Diceros bicornis minor: one gene and its partners. The main gene of each other region encodes a partner of the protein of the gene in region 3 in a complex. Links are inferred from orthologs where the notes say so. Each region holds a gene or a part of one and is shown on either strand. Other genes may lie near its edges.

Region 1 (7,801 bases), on a different chromosome or scaffold from region 3:
ACTCCGACCTCACTCTACACTCCAGTCTGCTCCCTCTTCCTGCCCATCCTCACCACTCCATGTGTGGGCGCCGTGCTGGACGTGGCAGGAGGGTGCATAGCCCAGGGGGTCCCTCGCACAGAGGGAGCAGCACTCACATGGGATACATGTGCCACAGGGCACCAGTGCCTGATGGGAACACGTGGGGGTTCACAGACCAGTGGGCTTCTTGGAGGAGGTGGCACTTCAGTTGGGCCTCGAAGGTGGGAGGAGGCAGAGATGAGAGTGGCTGCCTGGATGAGGGAAGGGCATGAGCAAGGCCCGCAGAAGGGAAGCCTGAGGCCTGGGAACCGGGAACCAGGCCCTTGTTTGGAGGAGGCCGTGCTGATGACTCCTCTTTCACAATCTCGCCCCCGGCTCTGCCCACAACAGCTGGCCGGGGGTGGGGGGAGGGCGGCTTGGCTGTCTGCACGGAGATGTGGCCATTTGTGTTGGCCGAGGGGAGCCCTGTGGAGCCCTGTGAGCCTGGCCACTGTGGCGGCCTTCAGAGCCTGACTGGAGGCAGGTCTTTCACAAACTGGCCCCCCCCCGGGCCATACTGGAGCCTGAGGCAAAGGAATGGCAGTCTGACCACCCTGCCTGTATCTAAAATGCTGATTCTTTGTCCATGTGGACTGTTGTATTAGCTTCGATGTACTTAAATACTGTGTTGGAGTACGGTTGATCTGGACGACTGAGTTCTTGGCAGCCCCTTGGATGCCGTGCCCAAGGCCAGTGCCTCACTTGCCTCACTCTGGCCCCTGCCCCATCCAGGTGCCCAGTTGGGGCCGGGACCCAGCACATCCCTGGAATTGGAGAGGTCTCTGGGCCCTGGGCTTAGCCGTGGGCCTCGCATCCCCACGCAGCTGAGCAGAGAGGATGTGACCTTCTGTTGCTGCCAGCACTTTCTGTTCCCCTCTTTGCTGAAATCAGGTATGGGAAACACCCCGCCCCCTCCCACTTTGGGCGGATGACGATGAGGGGGAAGCCACTGGGAGGGGGATGGGGAGAGGTGGATGGCACACAGCTGGGAAGGGGAATGGGGACATCATTAGGGGGAAGGGGGGATGGAGGCACAGGGTGGGCCCACTCTGCCCTCAGCTGGCTCCTGGCCCCCCCTCCTGCTCTCACAGTCCCTTCTATCCTCCTCCAGCCATACCAGCTCAGGCTTGCTCTCAGGCTGGCCACTGTGCCACCCACCTAGCAGGAAAACGAGGCTCCATCAGATGGAAACATTCTCAAACTCCACCCCTAGCCTGATCCCCTGCCACCCCATCCCCAGGTCACCCGCAGGCACTGTCCCCCACTAGTGGGGCTTCTCCTGTCCCATCTCCCCATGATCCTGGGGTCTTCTCTTAGCATTCAGACCTGCCTCAGCTCCATGAGGGAGGGCGGGATGGTGACCCCTGCCCGGCAGCACTGTCCCCAGCCCTCTCCTCTCCTCCAGGGAGTCCTCTCCTGGCTGGGTCTGAGGCCCTCACTGGTTCTTCTCAGCCTCATTCCCTTTGTCCCCTCGCAGGTCTGTCCCCTGCTGAGGGCAGTTAACGGAGCCCAGGCCGAGCCTCAGAGCCAGAGCAGAAGCAGCCCGCTGTGCCTGCCTTGCCGAGTGCGGACGGGACGGCAGGAGCTCCACCAAGGCCAGAGCCAGGGCGAGACTGGCACATCCAGATGCGTGGGCCTCGTTTGGACCCGGATTGGGACGAGCTACCTGGGAGAGGTTTTCTCTGTGAGCCAACATCAGGAGATTGACCAGCAAGGGAACAATGTAAAGAACTAGCATTTTTCCTCGGGCACGATGACGGCGCTGTGGGGTGACTTGACAAAGCCCTTATCTGCTAGAAATACACACTCAGGTGACGTTGGCTGAGCTGACAGCGTATCTGGGATTCCCTGGGATGGGGTGGGGGTGGGGACTGACCCCAGTGGGCCGGGCCGAGACATGGGCATCTATCTCTGTACTAGAGCCCCTACTTCGGTGTGCACTTGAAACTTTCCACAATAAAAACTTTATAAACATAGAGAAATAAGTGTGTGGCTGTGGAAAGTTCTGAGAAGGGTGAAGCCCATCAGTTATACGGGCAGACGAGGTGGCCGGTCAACAAGGGGACATGTAGGGGGAGAGGGGCCGGCGCTGCAAGTCCAGATCATTGGCTTGAGGTCCCTCCAACCGGCAACTTGCTCCACGCTGGCCCCTGCCCCAGCTGCCCTGCCCGTGCCCTGGGCATCTCTCTCATGGCCTGTGACTCCTCTCCGCGGACTAAGTAGGCTCCTGGGGTGCCACACCATAGGCCATGGCAGAGAGGGGACTGCACCACGTGAAGTGGTTTGGGGTGCAGGGCAGACCATGTCCTCCTCCCTGTGGGGTGGGGGAGGGGGACTGGGCGGGGGAGCAGCCAGTGTCTCTGTCATCTCCAAGGGACACACAGGGACCGAACCTCCTGTGAGAAATGCCCCGACCCAGGCTGCAGGAGACCCACCTCCTGCCCACCACCCACCTGGCACTGCTCCAAATCCCCTGCCATTCGAGTCCCCTGGGGCCACCAGGGCCCTCACCTAGGAATTCTTCCAGTCCTTGCCCTTGCAGCTGCTACCCCACTGCGGGGCTTCTTCCTGCCTATCCCCCTACAGGAAAGCCGCTATGTGCCTCTGAGGCCCCATGCTGCTCACTTACCCATCCATCCATCCATCCATTCATTCATTCATTCATGTATGCATTCAGCAAACATGACTGAGCATGGAGGGGTGCTGCTGAGAATAAGAACAGGGAGCAGGAGGGTCAGGGGTTGAAGGAGGCCCCCAGCAGCACGCCCTCAGGGCCTGGCTGTGCCTAGGGATGGGGGACAGGGAGGCTTGGTTCCACTGGTCATGAGGGGTCATGAAAAGGTTATGTAGGGGGTGTAAGAGGTCCTGAGAGGGTCTGAGGGGGTCCCGAGGCATTGCTGGCTCTCAGTTGGGCGGCTCCCGCCTGTGGTCACATCTCCGTCACATAGCAGCAGGGGACAGCACGGGGGCAGAGGGGCTGAGGGTGTACTTGGGGCTGCCTGCCCTGGTCCTGGCCCCATCCACCCCCCAGAGTCCCAAACCCACACCAGAGCTGCGAGGGCAGCCCCCCGGACAGCGTCCCTCCGCTCCCCCTCCTACCCACTCTGTCCCCTTCGACAGCCACCCCTTGGGCGGTCACTCACCCAACAGCTCCACCGCCTTCTTCTTGCCGCACGCAGCGGCTCCGGAACGCGGCAGTGGCAGTGAGGTGGCCGCCTCGAGACTGGAGCCGCAGGTTCCTGCCTCCCGCCGCCTCCGCCCCCTCGGCCGCCTGCTGAGTGCTCCTCTGCCCTGCAGGCCTCCTTCCGCTTTCTCGGCCTCAGGCTCTGATTGCAGGCCGCTCCTGGGGTGCCGCACCCCCGCGGCCCTCCCTCCGCCAGCCGCACGCCCTCCCCACCGCCCTGGGTCTTGGCCTCCCCGCCCACTGCAGCCCCGCCCGTCTCCCAGGTGGGCTCCCACTCAAGCGCTTGCGGGGTCTCCCGCGGCCCTGCTCTCCGGCGGTGACCCCGGCCAAGGAGGCTGAGGGGCAGAGCACATCTCGCCCCTGCTTCAGAGTCAACCGCCAGTGTCCAGCAGCCCGATGTGGAGCAGGAAGGCGAATCTGCCTCCCCCTCCCCGCCCCCAGGGCAGCGGGCCTCCAGCCTTGGCTGATTGGGCCAGTCGGTCCAGGGTAGATCCCAGAAGTGGTGGGCCTTAACCTGCATGTGCCCCAAGACACACGGAGGTAGGAGGTGCTCAGCTGCCCTTGAGAAACACTCTGCAGGGGGTTCTGTATTATCCCCTTGACACTCCTTGGACCACTGACCTTCCGAGACACTTCCTCTGGAGGATGGGCAAGACACCCATTGATAGAGATGGGGACAGACAGTTCACAGAAAAGGAAATGTAAACAGATCATTAAAGATATGAAAAGATGCTGTCTGGTTATCCTGACAGTTGGCTTTTCTTTTTGTAATGCAAGTGCCTGACTTAAATTTTGATTGCCGAGGCATCAAAGATGCCTGTGAATGCCGAGGCATTCACAGATGGCCATCTTGAATACACACTTTGCCAGCTGCAGGAGAAAGAGCCAGCACTCCCTCTTTGTTTTAGAGATCTAGGTTGATTTCCATAACTGCCCACTGGGGCCACTGGGTTTTTTTTCTCTCCCTGCACTTTAAATTCTTGCTTTCACGTTTTAAATTCAGCATTAAAGAGTGAGCCCTGGAAACCCTAGACCCCCACCCTTGACCCCAATTTAGGAGCAGAACCCCAGGCCCATGCTCTCTCTCTACCCACGACCTTGCTGTGTGGCCCCAGGTGTGCTGTGTAATTTCCAGGACCTGTACATAATAAGCCTTTATTTTTTCAAAGTTTCCTGATGGTTATTGCTGAAGGGCATCTTGCAATCATAGAACCTCAAGGGCTGGTCCAGCCACAACACTGGTTATGGATAGGCTGAAACTGGCACACAACACACCCTCAATGGACTCCTAATAAGAGAACTATAAATTAAAAGTCCACTGCAATACTGTTTCTCCCCTGTCAGATGGCAAAATCTGAGAGTTTGACAATAATCTATGGGGGGATGACATCCTTGGATGTCGTTGATATTTAGCATGGTACAAACCCCCATGGAGGAGATTTGGCAATATCCAGCAATATTAGAGCTGCAGTGGCCTTTGACCCAGTAATCCCACCCCTAGGGATCTATTCTACGGACAGATGGTAGAACTAAGACAGAGATGCCTGACAGGCTCTTCCTTAGAGCACGGTTGAGTAGCACCAGCCTGGAAACTACTCAAGCGTCTGTCCATGGGGCTTTGGTTGCATGAAGTATGTTCCATCCACACCATGGAGCACCGAGCAGTTGTAAAAAGGAAGGAGAAATATCTCTATACACTACTACATGGTTATCTCTAAGTGAAAAAAGGCTGTTCATGCTTATTTATTTATATAGGGCCAGCAGCTTATATTTTTACAAATGGAAGGATAAGCCATAAAACTTGTTTTAAATTAAATTGTTACCTATAGGGAACAGGTGAAGATGAGGTAAAGGAAGATAGGGGATAGAAACTAGACTTCTCTGAATACACCTTGGCTTATAGATTTGGCTTTATTATTATTATTATGATTTTTTTTTTAATTTTTTGTTTATTGCAGTAACATTGGTTTATAACATTGTAAAAATTTCAGGTGTACATCATTGTACTTCTATTTCTGCATGGACTACATCATGTTCACCACCAAAATACTAATAGATTTGGCTTTAGAACCATGTAAATATTTAGGTAATTACTAAATTAAATTAAGTTATATTTTAAAAGGAATTATTAAATTTGAAAGCAAGATGAAACCAATTAACTTGCATTATCAGTTGGTAGCATAACCCTACCAAACTCTTCCAAGTGACTTTAAAATCCAGGATTTTGACTGTAGATCTATATAGCTTGAGTACAAAAAGAATAATGTTTCATTTTCTGTAATTGTTTTCCAAATAATTTTAAAACATAGTTTTGTTGGTACACCTAGATAAAAACATCTTAAATTGCTTTCAGCAATCATGCTGTTGATGGTAGTGTTGGTACTGTTATTTTGAGGTTATTGTGTCATAAAATGAATGAATAATTATGTTGGGCATTATTGAGATTTCTGTGTGGGGTAAAGCAGATGCAGATGTCTTATCGATAAAGTTAAGTCGATAAGGTTAAAAACCATGTAGATCTGAATTTGAGTGGAAAGTGTCAGTATGTACTCGTACTGTGTCTTATCTTAAACAGAAAACTTCTGAGTTCTGTTCACCAACAAGGCCTAAAAACAAGCACCTGTACCATCCAGACTGTGGTCTCTAGAGATCATTTCTCTGAAAGAGGAAGAGGCGCTCCTGAGAGAAGTGGATGCTTTCAGCTCTGGGTTAGGAAATGTATAAGATGAGCCTGGAATAGCTTTTCATACTAGAGAACAAAGCAGATCACGACTGTTGGCCAATGTCAAAGGGACTCAAGACTCAACTCACATTCACCCCCATGGGCCAAAGATGAGATGATTTGAATACAATAAGGAGAATAATTTCAATGAATTGGAACACAAAAAATGTTTAAATCCATGAAGCTGTAATTATACTTAAAAAAACAAACTCAATCACTTCATGATTGGTGGTGGTCTTGCCCAAAACAAAAATCACACCTGAACCTGATGAAGCATTTGAGCTAACCCCCCAGTGAAAGGAGCTAGAGAAGACACGGAACACTGTCATGACACTCCAGGGTGCAAGCTGCAGACTCCTGTCTGTGGGCCACTCTGCAGGGCAAGGCACCCAGAACAAGAGTCAAGAGGCGGTTGAGGAGATGGAGGAGAAGGCCATTGCTTAAGAGGCTTGATGACACATTAGTCAGTGGAGGGCATGAATGTTACCTGGATGCTATTGACCTGCTGGTGTCCAGGTGGCCAATTAGGACACTGAGCCCAACTGCAAGTCACAATTGAGCCTTTATCCATCTAGTGCAATAGTGCAGGCAAGAGGCTAAAGAAAGGTGGTGGCTTCTCAGGGTTCCACTTTGCCCCATGGGACACCAGGTGAGAGTCAAATGATGTGCAGATGGGGTGGGGAGGGGATCATCACACTGCCGAGGAGTCCCAAACATAAGGCTCCTGCCTTTGCATGGACCCTGTTGCATGGACTGGTGGACAGAGGCAGAAGGCTGGGAGTGCAAAGTACTGAGTCAGGGTGGAGAATAGGGCCTCAACCAAGGACCCCGGTAAGGAGGCTTCTTGGTGGTATCTGGGCAAGGAATGCAGATGTGTGAAGAGTGCACTGGCCAGGAGGCTGAGCCCTCAGTTGCAGCTCCCCTGAGCGACTGCAGTGCACTGACTGCCCCAAGTCTGGGGTAGGGAGGGCACCTCCCAGGAGGCTTGCCAGCAACACCTTGTGATTGCCAATGGGAAGCCGGAGAGATCACACACAGGATTTGGGCCTGGAGCCTGAGATCCCTATCCAATCAAATATATTATTTTTTAAAATGTATACGACTATGGGGAAAATGTGAAGACTGACTGCATGTTTGATGAAATTAAAGTCATCTACCTTTTTTGGTTAGATGTGGTCCTAGAATTGTGACCATGATTTTCTTTTTCTTTTTTTGGTGAGGAAGATTGGCCCTGAACTAACACCTGTTGCCAATCTTCTTCTTTTTGCTTGAGGAAGATTGTCCCTGAGCTAACAGGGACACTGTGTCAATCTTCCTCTATTTTGTATGTGGGATGCTGCCACAGCATGGCTTGATGAGCGGTGTGTAGGTCTGCACCCAGGATCCAGGCCCATGAACCCTTGGCCGCCAAAGTGGAGTGCACGAACTTACCCACTACACCACTGGGCCAGCCCCTGGGATCACGTATTTTTAAAAGTCTTTATCGGAGAGTGACATCAGCATCACAGCAGAATGAGTTGTTCCCTTTGTCTCTCTCCTCTAAGTTACAACCAAACAGACATCCATTGACCACCAGAGGATTCCCTACATAGCACAACAGGATGCCTAAGAGATCCAGGCAGCTATACATCTGAAGGTGGGTGGACTGGACCCCAAGGAATCAGTGGGACTATGGGGGCAGCACCCCTTCCCCCAGTGGCAGCAATCCAGGGCCTGGATCCTCATGCAGTGGCCTGCTCAGTTGTGAGTGGAGGTGAGGGTGGCCCAGCTCGTGGAAAACGGCTGGTGGAGTGGTGGCGGAAGCAGCAGCCAGACCCACAGAACTGTGAGAAGAC
Region 2 (7,084 bases), on a different chromosome or scaffold from region 3:
GCAGCCGGCCTGGAGCTGGCTTGGCCCAGGCCTCGGCCTTACCAGACCAGCCGTCGGGCCAGAAACAGCACGCGCTCTGATTGGGTCATTTTCAATCCCAGGGCATTGAGCGATTCGCCTATTGGCCTGAGCTCTCCGTCCTCGGTATTTGATTGGCCCGTTGGGGGCGCTCTCCGGCCAGCACTACTGATCTGGACCTCAGCAGGCGGCTGCAGCTCATTTCTTTCCGAGGACAGAGTGAAGGCTGTGTGGGTGTCCCAGGGGAGAGTTTGAACCGCGGCCTGACCGCCGGGTCACCCCGACCAGACGCCCCCAGCCTGCCCTGGTCTACTGGGCCCCTCTTGGGGTTCATAATTAACAATCAAAGACCCATCGCAGGCCTGGGAAACACATTTGCTGGTGGGCGAGAAGCGCAGGGTATGTTCCGTGGCCGCCCCGTCCCCGCCTCATGTGGGGCCACCACTCGTCTCCTGTCTGGCGGCCAAGAGAAAGATTTATAGCCGTTTCCTGGCGAAATAAGAAATGAGTTCAGCCCTTGCACCCCAGGGACTGACCAAGTCTGTCTTCTTGGGGGGGAGGGGGGAGAGACAGGGGGCGCTGTACCCTCACTTTCTGCAGCCCCAGGAGGCTGTCAAGGCATCCTCAGAAGGCAGGACGGCTCTCCTAGTTAGAGAAGGGGAAACTGAGGCCCACACTGCATCCCGACGACTTTGCTAACACGCGAACTGACGGCAGGTCTGCTTCCCAGAAAGAGGAAGAAGGGCCCGGAGGTTGGGGCTGGCAGAGTCACCCCGAGGCCGATACAGCCCTTGCCAGCTTCCCCTCGCTGTGTCAGCCTCCCAGGCTGGCTACACACAGAAGCTCAGGAGGCGGTCCCTGGCCTCAATGGAGGGAGAGCCACAAGTGACAGGGTTTGGAGGGAAGGGAAGAGAGACAGACCAAGACTGTTCAAGGGGAAATAAGGAGAGAGGAAGGCTGGAGGAAGCCTCAGTGGCTTCCAGGCACCCCTTCCCCAAGTTCCCCTTAGAGGCAACTCCTGTGGTTAAGTGTTCCTCCCGGTCACTCAATGAGCCTCTTGCCCTAGGGCAGCCCCTCTCCCCCTTTCTTCAGCTCTCAGGCCCCACCCCCTATTCTCCGCGCTGCAGCCAGGGGGCGCTCCACTAGGCCACTGCTCAGCTCCAGCTTCTACCATGGCTCCCCACTGCCCCAAAGGGCCTGGCCCCTTCCCACCTAGTCTCTTCCCACTCTCCCCCAGGGTCACTCCACTCCCACCACACTGGCCTCCTGCCTGCCACCCCCATCGCCAGCTCACAGCCTTTGCCGCGGCTGTTCCTCCACCTGGCATGCCCTTCCTCGCAATCCTTGAACGACTATCTCCTCATCTTTCAGGTTTCAGTTTTAAGGGCACTTTCTCAGAGGGGCCTCCTCTGACGTGCCAGTCTACTCGAGCCGCCTTCCTCAGGCCCTTTCTATCACAGCATCTTGCTCTATGATCTTCACAGCACTTGCAAATTTTGGAAATTATGATTGTATTTCTTGTTTTCTGTCTGGCTTCCACGGTAGAACGTGAGTGTCGGAGGCCAGCCACCCAGTCGGTTTTCAGCCCCTTTGGAACGATGCCTGGCATACAGAAGTGCTCAGAAAGCATGTGGAATGGATGGATGGACGGATGAATGAATGAACGGACCAACAAGGCCCCAGTGGGTCCCCGAGGGTGGAGGCTCCTAAACTCTGCCCAGACCCAAACAACAGCAAGGGAGGCTGGAGACGCCTCTGGTCCGCGAGCAGCCCCCCCACCCCGGGCGAAGCCCAGCGCGTCTCCGTGGAGACGGCGGCAGGACCCGCCCCCGCCCTCCAGCCGCAGTCTCGACCTCCTTATCTGGCCGTGGAATGCGCGGTATCCACACTCGCAGCCGCTGGGGCCGCGCCTCCTCTCTCCCGCGACAGCCACACGCGCGGGACCCCCAACATCTCCAAGTGGGGGTGGGGGGCTCCTCTCCGTCCCAGGGGCCCCGCCTTGGCATTCCCGGAGCACTGGGGGTTGGGGTGGGGGGAGATTCCAGCAGCAGCCGCACCACGAATGCTGCACCCGCGTTGCGCCACGCGGAGGACGGTGGGCACAGCGCGTGGCGCCCGGAGCACCTGACTAGGGCGGACTCGGGGGAGGGGGTGGAAATCCCCGGGTGAGTCAATTCGTGCCGGAGGAGGGGGCGAGGTTCCGACGCTCTGCTGGGCCCGGGACCACACGGGGTCTGTGGCACGCACGTCTGCACCCAGGCCCCATCCCCAGGATAAAGACGACGCGCCGGAGCCACGCAGTCACGTTCCCTGTCCCTCAAGAACAAAGCCACGCCCCCGCGGGCGGACTGGAGGAGACGAACTACTCAGGGAAACTGAGGCAGAGAGCCAGATGAGCAGACAGTGGGCGACTGCCTTCCCCGGGGCCCCGCCCCTTGGCTTGGAAGCTCTAGGGCGCGCAGCACCTTTCGCCCTCGCCCAGCCCGAGTTAGCCAGGAGGGGCGCCCTACACCCCCATACACACTCCCCAAACCCTTGATCGCGGGGCTCGCTGTCCTGCCTCCCAGTCTGCGACTGAAAGCGCTCGGATTCCGCCTTCTCCTCGGCGCCAACTTCCTGCCGCTGGGGAAGGCAGGGAGCGCAGTCTGGGGGTTCGCGGCCGAGGCAGTGGGGGCCGCCTGGAGTCGTGGAGAGGGCTCACGGTGACCACTCCCTCCGTGCAGCAGGAGCACGCGCGGCGCGTGCGCGCCCCGGGGCGCCCCCAACCCCTGGCCAGGCCCCCCAGCTCCGATCCTGCGACCTCAGGAGACCGGGGCCCGCCCTTTCTGCCTCCCCCTCGCCACGCACGCTCACCTGGCTAGGCTGGCCCGGGTCGCTGCCCTGGTCGGAGGGGCTTGGGCGTCTGCGTCCCCGGGACGGCCGCGGCTGGGGCTGGGGCTGCCCGCCGGGCTCGGCTGCGTCCCGGGGCTGGGGACCGGGGACGGAGGGGGGGCGGGGAAAGGCACCGCCTCGGCCCCCCAACTCGCCCCGCCCTCTTCTCCTCCCTTTTCCGGCGGCGGCGGCAATGAATTCCAGATGTGGCTGGCCAGCCGGGGCGCGCGCGCGGGGGCCGGCGGGGGAGGCGCGCGGGGTCCCTTTGTCCGCACCCCCACCTCCCGCCCTGCCCCTCCCAGCCCCCACCCGTGAGAACCGGCCGGCGCATGACGTCACGCAGCCTGGTGACGTCACGTCTGTCTTGGCCAGGTGACCTCAACCTGAAACAACTGTCTTCGGTTGCGAATAAACTGTTGGCCCATCCCTGGGACCCCAGAATTGGAGGAGAGCGCGGGATCCCATTTATTTACTCAACAAGGAGCCATTAAGAACCGACTATGTGTCAACGCAGAAAATAGGCATTAAGCCCCTTCTATGTGCGTGTTCATCTAACAAATAATCAAGATCCTACTATGTGCCACGCCCTGCCCCAAAGACAGGACTGGCTTTGCCTTGATAAGGCCTCAGAATTCAGCCGCTGCTCCCTCTCCCAGGAGCACCCAACAGCCGACCCTCCCTTTATCGATAGCTGTCCCACCCTCGCTGTGGTCGACCAGCAGGCCCAGGTTGCGCCCTGCGTTCCAAGCTAGGGCCAATCTTCTATTTAATCCTTCAGTTTCCTCCCGTTCCCCTCATTCAGCCTTTTAGGAGGGTACTATTTGTGGAAATGTATACATAATCTGCTTATATGTTTATTTATGAAATACATTAAACACCTGGTAGGTGCCAGACACTATTCTCAAAGTTAAACATTTATTAAGGAACAAAACTCCGTGTTTCTGAGGAGCTGATATTCTACTGTATGCATGCAGAATATCCAGAATATGGCAAGAAGAAGAAACTGGTAAATTTCCTGGGCGAGGAATTGAAAGACAGGAGACAGGGCATGGGAGGGAGGCTGCTTTCACTCTGTGAATCCTTCCATGCCTATTGACTTTTGTGACGTGCGTATGTGCCCTATTCCAGCAATAAATTAAATTAAAAATTAAGATTCCGTGATACCCAGACCATGCAATAAAAAGGAGGGAGGGGGTAGGTGCACTCTTCTGTATGTATATATTATACTTCAGTAAAGAGTGTTGAACAGCATAATGCTAAAAAAAAAGGTATCTGCACCCCCATGTTCATTGCAGCGTAATTCACAATAGCCAAGAGCTGGAAACAACCTAAGTGTGCGTTAAAGGATGAATGGATAAAGAAGATGTGTGTATACAGACAATGGACTATTATTCACTCACGAGGAAATCCTGTCATTTGCAACAACATGGATGGACCTTGAGGGCATTATGTTAAGTGAAGTAAGCCAGACAGAGAAAGATGAATACCGTATGGTCTCACTTATATGTGGAATCTTAAAAAAAAAAGTCAAACTCATAGAAACAGAGAGTAGGAAAGTGGTTGCCAGGGGCTGGGGTGGGGGAACAGGGAGAGGTTGGTGGAAAGGTACCAACTTTAGGTTATAAGATGGATAAGGTCTGAGGATCTAACGTAAACAGTAGTGACCTCAGTTGATAACACTGCAATGTATAAGTGAAATTTGCTAAGAGAGTAGAACGTAAATGTTCTCATACACGAAAGAGAAATATGTGAGACAATGGGTGAGTTATTTAACTAGAAAGGGAAATCCTTTAACGATGTGTCTATCAAATCACCACGATGTACATTTTAACTATCTTACAATTTTATATGTCAATGATACCTCAATAAAGCTGAAATTTTAAAAAATTTAAGGCTGCTTGATACCCAGACAATGCAACTGATAAAAAGAAAGGAGACTTTTGGTGCACTCTTCTGTATGTATGTTACACTTCTTAAAGAGTGTTAAAACACAAAACCAAAAAGGAAATTAAAATTGATCCATTTATGACTAAGAAAAAAGTAAAAAATGGAGTAGTCTGGATGTGAAACTCTTCAAGATGTTAAGTTGAAAAAAACACAGAGTAGACCAGTTTGCATTGCTTGCACGCATCGTCTAGGTGTATATATAAGGACTGTATAAATACACACATATTTGCCTGTGGACTCATAGGCCATCTCGGGGAGAAGGCACAAGCCACTGGTCACAGCCGTTACCCTCAGGGAGGGGGGCTGGGGAGCAGGGGAACAGGTGAGAAGGGGCCAGACTTTTCATGGTATACTCTGGGGGACTGGAAGTTTTTAGCTCGTATTACCAATTCAAAAAATTTACAAAGACATGAAAAATCAGATAAAAGGTAACAAACAGATCGCCAGACGTCTAGTTGTAAAATTTTTCCTGTAATAACAATAATAAATAATATCAATAATATAAACAATAATGTTAATAAACATATCAACAATCGACATATCACCATTAAATAAATTGATCTTAAGAATAAACATATGTAAGTGATTAATAAAGAAATGAATATTAAAAATCAATATGTTAATGCTACATATATGTAGGCAGCGTATACATTCATATAATGCAACATACAATGCTCTGTGCTATCTCTGGTGATGCCTCATTGGTTTCTGCCGTCCCAAGCTGACAGTCCGATGGAGGAGACAGAAGAAATCAGATAGTTCTAACACAGGGTAGCAGGGCTTTATGGGGAGATAAGAAAAGTCAGAGAGACTTCGCTTCTTTTCCTGAGCCAGATTTCAGTGTCCACTTGGTTCCAGGCCAGATCTTGGGGTCCACTCGGACCTCGGTAACACCTCACTGAATCCTCTGCCAAGTGACATGTGTTGCCCGGACGACCTCTAGAAACCAGGTGTTCAACCCACAGGAGTAAAGTGCAAAGAGAACTGGGTCCTCTCCTCCCCACGGAGCTATCGGAGCGGAAATCTCAGCCTCTGTGGGGACTTGAAGGCTGCGGAGGAAGTGCCCTCGGCTAGCTCAGCAGTTTGCCATACCCCCAGGGACCTGGGGGTGGGGGTGATGTCAAGGCCACAGACGTATCCGGCTGTCTGTTACAGGGACCATGGCTCCTAGATAAAGGTGATGTCCCCTGAGGCACACAGAGGCACTCACAAGCAACTTCCACCTCCCCCCCACCCCACCGCCTCCTACATCTGACACAACACGAGGTCTCCGCCGGGTCAGCTGAGGGGACGGCTGGAGAAATGGAAACCACTGAAGGCCTAGACTTCCTGATGGTCTGGAGGGGTTAAATGCAAAGCTGGGCCCTGCCCTAGGGGAGACCCTGAGTGAGAACTGTGGAAGAGGAAGGAAGCAAGGCCCTTTTCTTGGGGAGTCCCAGGAAGGGGAAATACAGAAGGAAGAGAATTGGACCAGCCTCCACTAATTACAGGGCCTCTGACAATAATGGCTAACGCTCACTCATGCGACAGACACGGGCTGTGCTGGGTGCGGCCCTATGAATCCTCACAACCCTGTGAGGTGGGTGTTATTATTATCATCATCCCATTTTTTTTCATAGACTTTATTTTTTAGAGCAGTTTCAGGTTCACAGCAAAACTGAGTGGAAAGTACAGAGATTTCCCGTATACCCTCTGCCCCCAGATGTGCCCAGGCTCCCCCACCATCAACATGGCCCCGGAAGGGTGCATTGATTATAACTGATGAACTGGCATGGACATGTCATTATCACCCCAAGTTCATAGTTGACATTAGTGTTCACCCTTGGTGTTGTACATTCTATGGGTTTAGACAAATGAGAAGGACACGTATCCACCATCATTGTATCACACAGAACAGTTTCACTGCCCTAAAAATCCTCTGTGCTCTGCCTGTTCATCCCTCCCTCCCTCCCCCCAACCCCTGGCAACCACTATCTTTTTACCGTCTCCATAGTTTTGCCTTTTCCTTGTCACCCCATTTTAGAGATGAGGAAACTGAGGCACACAGTAGTGGTGGGATTTGGACTAAAGCTCTCTGCCTCCTTGTTCATCTCAAGTCCCCGCCCCAGTCCAGATTCAGTGACTTGCATCCCTGCCCTGGCGGGTCAGGACAGAAGGGCGGTGGGTACCACTCAGGACCACATCAGTCATTGGTGAGAGGAGGAACATTCTTCTCTGTAATCCAGGTGAGGGGAATTCTCTGATCCCA
Region 3 (7,129 bases):
GTACTGTAGAAAAACCCGGGTTTCCACCATGCCCTGGGCCGCCATGGGGGACCGCGTGTCAAATGCCATCATCACATCTCCATTGAGCTGGTTTGAGTTATCTCCCCAAGGAATGTGAAGCTTCTCTCGAGCATCTACCAGCACCCTCATACCTTTGTTTAAAAAGAAAAAAAAAAGTGTGATAGGAGTCATTAGATATTCTCATAGATTCTATTCCAGTATTATTTTCTTAAACTTCTTAACTGCTCCAGGCCCACCACCTCCAAAATGGAGACCAACATCAAAACAAACACCATAACTTCTCAGAGCTTAAAAAAACTAACAGTTGTTCAGAGTCATAAAATTAGAGCCTTGAAAAGCAAATACTATTAACATAATTGTTCTTTCTGAAGACTTTTCACATTTCTAATTTATAAAATAACTTCTGGGGTAGAAGGTAGTCACAAGAGAACTAAAACTAGTGAAGGAAAAAGAAATTATACTGCATAGCCCGATGTCCAGGCTCTGGAGAAAACGGCTGCAACCAAGATTTTATGAGCCTCTCAAAGACATTTATTTATGAAACGCCAAGAACCAAACATTATCGCTGTGTTCTGTTTGTTCCCTGAGCACCCTGCTTATAAGCCAACACTGAGTCTTCTAGGATCACATTCAAAACTCAAACACTTCTCTCATACCAAGCTTCAAATCAGTGTAAGTCACAGGATGGCCTTCGATTTCCCTAAAAGGGAGGAAGATCAACTGCAAAAGAGAGAGAGATTTCCACTCACAGAGATTAGTTCAAACTCAATATTTCTATCACTAAACTGTTACCTTGGTCCATCTTAATAGTCACATGACTATTAAGTCATTTGTTTGGACAACTGAAAAATTGTTTTGCTGTCAATTTTCTCATCATGCCAACTCAAAAAAAGTAGATGTCTAGTGACTTCATCTCACAAACAATGCTCAAAGTAGGTCACACTTAGGACCTAGTGCACATTAAGAACCAGGTGTTTACCTGGCTCATAATCAGTTAACATGTTGACTCTATTCTTTGACATAATTCCATAAGATCAGCTGCATCAGGATACAAAGGTACCTTCAATTAAAGACTGGCAAGGCGGAGTCTTCGGCCTTGAAAGGGACCTTAGTTTTGTGCTCAACATTAAGATAGGATAAGCACAACTTTTCGCACAGCTTAACTGCAGCGATACTAGGGCTCAGAGCTAGCTGTGGTCTGTGAACTCCTGGCCCTGTGTTTTACTCCCCTCCATTACCCCCCAGTACTCCCCCCAGCCCAAGCAGTTTTCCTCTACCCAATCCTGGGAGAAAAAAAAGCCACACAAAGGAGTTGCTTAAGTACTTCCAGAATAAAAGAATCCCACTTAAAAAAACACTGCTTGAAAACACCCGAAATCTGTAGCAAACTCCTAAGTAATTGCTACCCAGATAAAATAAAAAGAATCCTGATGCACCTGAAGTACCAGGCTCTGCATCTCAATTTTGCGAAAATGCCTTTTATGCAGAAAACATCTGATACTAAGAAAAATGAGTTCTAATTACTGTTCAAATGACAAAATAAAAACCATCATCTCTAATTCTTTGAAAGCCCAGACATAAAATTCTTGTTAACTTTTCACTCAAGGACAAAGTTTACCTTTAATTTTAAAAATACTGTCAGAAGCAGAGCCTATGATTCAAGCCGACGATTCATTGACTCAACCTGTACAGGCTCCGCATCACTTTTAGGCCAAAGATTCTTCCTATCAAAGCACGACTTCATTTAAATAGTAGAAGCAAGTGGTGGGTACCCCCTCCCCTCCGCCCGCCCCCAGTTATTAAGCAAAAAGGAGAGTGGAACGTGTTGCATAGTGATTACAGGCAAACATCCTGCCCGACCGTGACACTGAGGCGAAAAACCACTGATGCTAATTTTTTCAGACGAACTGTATGGGTCTACCCTTTCCTGATGCCAGCACAGTAAACATGACACCCTCAAGTTTCACATCCTTGCCCAAAAATGCCCCAGGGCCTGTCACTCTTCGCCCTTGACAAGAGTCTCAGGCAAAAGTTTTCTTATCGCAACGGTTCCAGAAATCCCTTGCTCAGGAGGCGGCCAAGGAAGCGGGGAGTTGGGAGCAGACCCGACCCCATCTGACTCGGGTCACCCACCCGGGGCGGCGAGGTTGGGCAGGCAGCGCCCGAGCAGGGGGTGGGGGTGCAGGGGTTGGCTCTCGGGTCTTCCCGCCTCGTCTGGAGGGAAGAAGACAGGAGAGGTCGCCCCGGAGCCCGGGCACCGGGCTCGCCTCACTTCCCCCTCGGAGGGGGCGAGGCCAACGGCGGGGTGGGGGGTAAGGGGCTGGCCGTGACCCCCACTCCGACGGGAAGGGCGAAGCGAGGGGCCCCCCGACATCCTCTCCCTGGGGCGCGACGGCACCCCGGGCAGGCGGGACGGTGCCCTGGCCGCGCCCCCTTCCCGCCCGCTCGCCGGGCCCGCTCCTCCGCCAGGGACAGAGCGAACGAGGGCGGTGCCCGGCCCCGCGCCGGCCGCCCCCGGCCCCCGCCCTCGGCCCCCCGACCCCGGCCCGGCACCTTTGATCACGTTGCTGTAGATGGTGGGGCGGAACTCCTCGCGCGCACGCTGGTCGAAGTCCTGCCCGTGGATGATCCGCATCTGCTTCAGGAAGGTGGACTTGCCGCTCTCGCCCGCGCCCAGTAGCAGGATCTTCACCAGTCGCTTCACGTAGGTCTTCTCCCGGGACAGGCATTTGTCGATCTCCTTGGACTTGCGCTGCTGCTCGGCCTCGCCGCTCGTCAGCACGCAGCCGGGGAAGCACACGGACAGCACGGACCGCGACGGCAGGAAGTCCGCCATCTTGCCGCCGCCGCCGCCGCCTCGGCGGGCCCCTCCGGCTCCCTCCACCTCCTCCTCGGGCGGCGGGCGGCTCCGGCTCCGCGGCTCGAGGGCGGGGAGCGCTGCGGCGGCCCGAGCGCGCCGGGGGAGGGAGGGAACGAGCGACTGACTCGCAGGGCGGGCCGCGCAGGGCGGGCCAGGCGAGCGGGGAGGGAGGGTAAGAGGGCGGGCCCGGGAGGGGCGGTGGCCCCAGGGGCGTGCGCGCGCTCGCTGCCTCCCGGGGGCGCGCACGCACGCCGCGCCCGCTCTCCCGCCTCCCGCTCTGGGCCGGCGAGCCACGCTCTAGCTCGCGTGCCCGCGGCCGCCGGCGGGCTCGTGCGGGGGCGGTGGGCGGGGGGGGGGCCCCCGCTAGGAGCGGTCACGTGGTCTCCCGCCAGGTCGGGGGCGCTCTTAGTCTGCGGAGCTCGACTTTGTTTACCTTTAATGAGCTGCGCCCACTTAGGGGCAGAAAGGCTACTTCCCCGAGCTCTGGAGGCCGGAGACCGGATCCCGGACACTCCGTTTGGGCCTCCCAACCGCTCCCGCCGTTCTTACACCCGGGTTACGTGCCCGCCGCCGCTTGCTGTCACCGTTCGCGCGCCTTACTTCGAGGCCATTGGATCGAAAGTTATTCGAACAGTGGGCGCAAGCCTGGAAGACTTCTGATGCGTTTTCTTAAGGTGGCTCCCTTGACATCCTGCTCTCCCAAGCCCAGAATGATAACCAAACGTCGTCAATCTCCGCCCCAGCTCCCCCCGCCCCCAGCTCTTTTTGGCATTCTCAGACCTCTGCAAAGACCCTCCGTTGAGGAGAAATAACTCGAGTTGATGTTAATCTGAGATGGGCAAGGAGGGGTTGTTAATGTGGATCCCCGAGCTGCCGCGCTGAAATCAGTGGATGGTAGCTGGAGGAGGGTGAGGTCATGGTGAAAATCCCCCTGAACCGGACACTGTGATGCAGACTCTTCCCTACAAGGAAGCAGATAAGCAAACAGACCGAGGACGGGAGCAGGCAAATTTTAGGTTTCCTGCCAGATTACAGAGGATATGACCAGCCAAGGGACTTTTTTCTGTTCTAATAGCAGATTCAGGCCAGGACACCTGAAAGGGCTGCCAGGAGACAAGTGACAAGTGACAGCTGAGTTGGAAGAGAGACTGCTTAGCAAGGGCCCCGGAAGCCAACTTCTTCATTCTTAATATTTAGTTTCAAGGGGAAAAAGCCGTTTTGGTCCATGTCTGTTTTTGGCAGTGCAATCATAATACTTCTTGATTTGAGCTCCTGTAGCTCAGAAACTACCTATGTGTTAGGCAGTGGAGCTAAGAGATCAGCATTCTGAGGCTCATGAACAGGTTTAAATAAAAAAAATCAGTGCTCATCAGTGTACTGTCAGGGTTGGGTTAATGGTTGAGGAGACTCATGACTCAGTAAATTAGCTGCAGTAAACAATGCATGTAGTAAGATTATCTCCTGTTGTCCTGGCCAAGACCATAGGGTGGACCATGTACAACATACAGAGTAGGGTAGGTTCAACTTCAGTATCTATAGATTGATAGGGTCAGAATCATTGGGCAGTGCCTTCAAGCAAAATGTATGGTACAAGTCTACCCCGGATGGATGGAAGATCTCTCTCTAGTCTCAACTAGTGTTCAGGAGGCCCTGTTCTCCCATCATGAAAGGACGAATCTCTGCTCAGAACTGAGGTGTAGCATTGCCTCCGAAGCACCATTCCTACATGGACTCCTGGTGCTAATCTGAACTCTTCTGCAAAAAGAGAAGGAGCGAAGCCTGTAAGCTAGGTAGTTAACATCTTTTTTTTTCCACCCAAAGCGTGTGCAACATAATGGAGAACCAAGGATGCCTAGGAGGCAGGAAGATATTCCTGCCCAGCCAGTTCATGCTGTGACATGTAGAGCAGCAGAGAAAGCTGTTCAAAGCCCTGCCCGTAACCTTGTGTTGGAACAGCTTGGCTCGGATCAAGCCTAGCTGCTCTAATCAGCGTTTCTGAAAAAGAGACCTCTTTGGGCCCAGCCTGGGGTTTGGCTACAGTAGTACAAATGCTTCTAACTGTCTGGTAATCAGGCCACCTTGAAATTGTAAGCATAAAAATGAGTTAGAGGTTTGGTGGTTCCTCAGAAAGTTAAACATAGAATTGCCATATGACCCAGCAATTCCACTCCTGGGTATATATCAAAAATAATTGAAAACAGGTGTTCAAACAAAAAATTATATACCTCTGTTCATGACAGCACTATTCAGAATAGCCAGAAGGTGAGAACAACCCATATATGCATCAGTGGAGGAACAGATAAACATAATGTAGTATATCTATACAATGGAATTATTCAGCCCTAAGAAGAAATAAGTGCTGATACATGCTGCAACATGGATGCACGCTGAAAACATTATGCTAAGCAAAAGAAGCCATACATAAAAGGCAACATATTGTAAGGTTCCGTTTATATGAAATGTCAAGAATAGATAAATCCATAGGAACAACAGATTAATAATTGCCAGGGGTTAGGAGGAGAGAAGAATTGGGAGTGACTTCTTAACGGGTACAGGGTTTCTTTTTGGGGTGGTGAAGATGTTTAGGAACTAGATAGTGGTAGTGGTTGCAGAACATAAATGCCCCTGAACTGTACACTTTAAAATGGTCAAATGATGAATTTGATGTTATGTGAATTTTACCACAATAAAAAATGAGGTAGGGAAAATAATATTTTCCATAAAAGCAATGTCATTGACATCATTTAACATTGAAATACCCACAATGTGTAATATTCAATAAATGAAAGTACAATTGTGTTTATTTTGAAATAACATTAACAATTTAAATTATTTGCACCAGAAGCAAATCTACCCTAGCAGTTGCATTGTTACAGTGTAATGATATTAGTGATGTTTTAATTTTCAGATAGGTTGTTTCATAACTGAAAAAAAAATCCAAACTTTTTAAGAGAGTAGAGAGTCTATTGGATCTGCTGAGTGCTATATTTCCAGTAGACTCATTGTTAATTCATTGGAAACATCTGTATTGTTGCTAGCCAGTTAATCCATGTGCAAATGAGGGCTTCAGATGCCCCAAGGAGCTGTGATAAAATGATTGAATGGTTGATTTGTTCCTATGCTCTTTTCTTTCTGGAAACTCAAGATCTAATGGCAAACAGTCCTGCAAGATAAATAATGAATGTGTGACTAAAAATGTAGAAATGGACATTTCCAAATGGCCTTTCTCCTCTGATGTGGTCACCTTAGGAAGGAACAAGCCATTCCCAACAATACTGCCAATTCTTGAAATCTACTACTTTTAACTCTTCTGTTTGAACTGAAAGAAAGATCAGCTTCCTATCTTATAGTCATAGCTTTTTTTCAATTAAAAAAAATGGTGTTGCTTAGGTCACTTACTGTCTTCATGCGAAATAACTTTGGGCTGTTTACAGAAATCAGTATTAGCCACAAAAGACAAAAATTTGTCACCCTCAGACATATTCAAAAGAATGTGCCAGAGGCTCTAGGAATAATTCCAAAAGAGGAGTTAAAAAAATTTTTCTTTGAATCATGAGAAATATAATTTAAATAAGTATTTCACCTGCCAAGATGACTGCTCACTGCTCTGGATAGGACAACACCCATTTGGATATGTTTACTTAAAAATCAGTCACATTACTGATGTTATTAAACCTTGTGTTAATTTTCTAGTAAGAATGATGACACATCCAGCATTCTTGTTACACAACTCTGCTCTATCTCATCTTCATATAAAATAGATGGATTCTAATCCTTTCTCACAGATAAAACAGGCATGGATTTTTTTCTATCTTCCTTCCTTTCCATACTAGAAGAGAAAGGGAATTCCCTAGCCCTCCCGTAATACAAATCCCTTACGTTTGTGTAATGTTTTAAACGCCCCAAAGCACTTTGACCTACTTTATCTCATTCTCTGCTCACAGTAGCCTGACTAGGAACACCCATCATTAACCTCGCTTCCATCACACAGGAGGAAGCTGAGAGGAAGAAAAGTTTAACTCAGCTTGGCCAATTACAGAGCACCCTCTTTTGACTCTGAATCCAGTGCTCTTTCTGATTTGCCAAAATGGTGGTTAGGCCCCTAATGCCCACGTGTATGAAGTTCAAACTTAAGAAACAAGTAGCTAACTGTACTTAACTGTGAGTCACCATAGAGTCCAGTAGTTTTCTTTGTTTGTTTATTTGTTGATTGGTGGGTTGGTCTGTTTTTCCAGCCCCTTTTGGACT

The links. The genes of interacting proteins can lie anywhere in the genome.
Region 1: the proteins of GNA13 (region 3) and GPR35 are in contact, whole or in part, in a cryo-EM structure (PDB 8H8J), measured with the Homo sapiens proteins. The link is inferred for Diceros bicornis minor from reciprocal best matches to the Homo sapiens genes GNA13 and GPR35. Residues at the interface, in NP_006563.2 of Homo sapiens: Lys46, Arg47, Leu48, Val49, Lys214, Asn215, Val216, Phe218, Arg331, Gln337, Gln338, Lys340, Pro341, Leu342, Tyr343, Phe359, Arg360, Asp361, Lys363, Asp364, Ile366, Leu367, His368, Asn370, Leu371, Lys372, Gln373, Leu374, Met375, Leu376; in NP_005292.2 of Homo sapiens: Phe45, Gln51, Thr53, Thr55, Met59, Asp113, Arg114, Ala117, Val118, Pro121, Leu122, Arg123, Arg125, Arg128, Ala197, Leu198, Arg201, Pro202, Thr204, Asp205, Gly207, Gln208, Ala211, Ala215, Met218, Val219, Ala280, Lys281, Glu282.
Region 2: the proteins of GNA13 (region 3) and S1PR2 are in contact, whole or in part, in a cryo-EM structure (PDB 7T6B), measured with the Homo sapiens proteins. The link is inferred for Diceros bicornis minor from reciprocal best matches to the Homo sapiens genes GNA13 and S1PR2. Residues at the interface, in NP_006563.2 of Homo sapiens: Arg47, Val216, Phe359, Lys363, Asp364, Ile366, Leu367, His368, Asp369, Asn370, Leu371, Gln373, Leu374, Met375, Leu376, Gln377; in NP_004221.3 of Homo sapiens: Ser66, Met68, Tyr69, Leu72, Arg130, Ala133, Ile134, Lys136, Val137, Lys138, Leu139, Tyr140, Tyr209, Ile212, Val216, Ser219, Gln227, Thr228, Leu231, Leu232, Val235, Tyr288.

Annotation. Positions count from the first base shown.
Region 1 is NC_080776.1:27,586,518-27,594,318, reverse strand, and holds the start of GPR35 (G-protein coupled receptor 35), read right to left. Parts: upstream 3,068-7,801; 5' UTR 2,710-3,067; coding exon 2,690-2,709; intron 273-2,689; exon of another isoform or gene 149-272; coding exon of another isoform or gene 138-148; intron 1-137. UniProt on the Homo sapiens protein: G-protein coupled receptor that binds to several ligands including the tryptophan metabolite kynurenic acid (KYNA), lysophosphatidic acid (LPA) or 5-hydroxyindoleacetic acid (5-HIAA) with high affinity, leading to rapid and transient activation of numerous intracellular signaling pathways.
Region 2 is NC_080769.1:8,930,574-8,937,657, reverse strand, and holds the start of S1PR2 (sphingosine 1-phosphate receptor 2), read right to left. Parts: upstream 3,068-7,084; 5' UTR 2,872-3,067; intron 2,669-2,871; exon of another isoform or gene 1,872-2,668; intron 1-1,871. UniProt on the Homo sapiens protein: Receptor for the lysosphingolipid sphingosine 1-phosphate (S1P). S1P is a bioactive lysophospholipid that elicits diverse physiological effects on most types of cells and tissues.
Region 3 is NC_080757.1:49,823,297-49,830,425, reverse strand, and holds the start of GNA13 (guanine nucleotide-binding protein subunit alpha-13), read right to left. Parts: upstream 3,002-7,129; 5' UTR 2,858-3,001; coding exon 2,575-2,857; intron 153-2,574; coding exon 1-152. UniProt on the Homo sapiens protein: Guanine nucleotide-binding proteins (G proteins) are involved as modulators or transducers in various transmembrane signaling systems.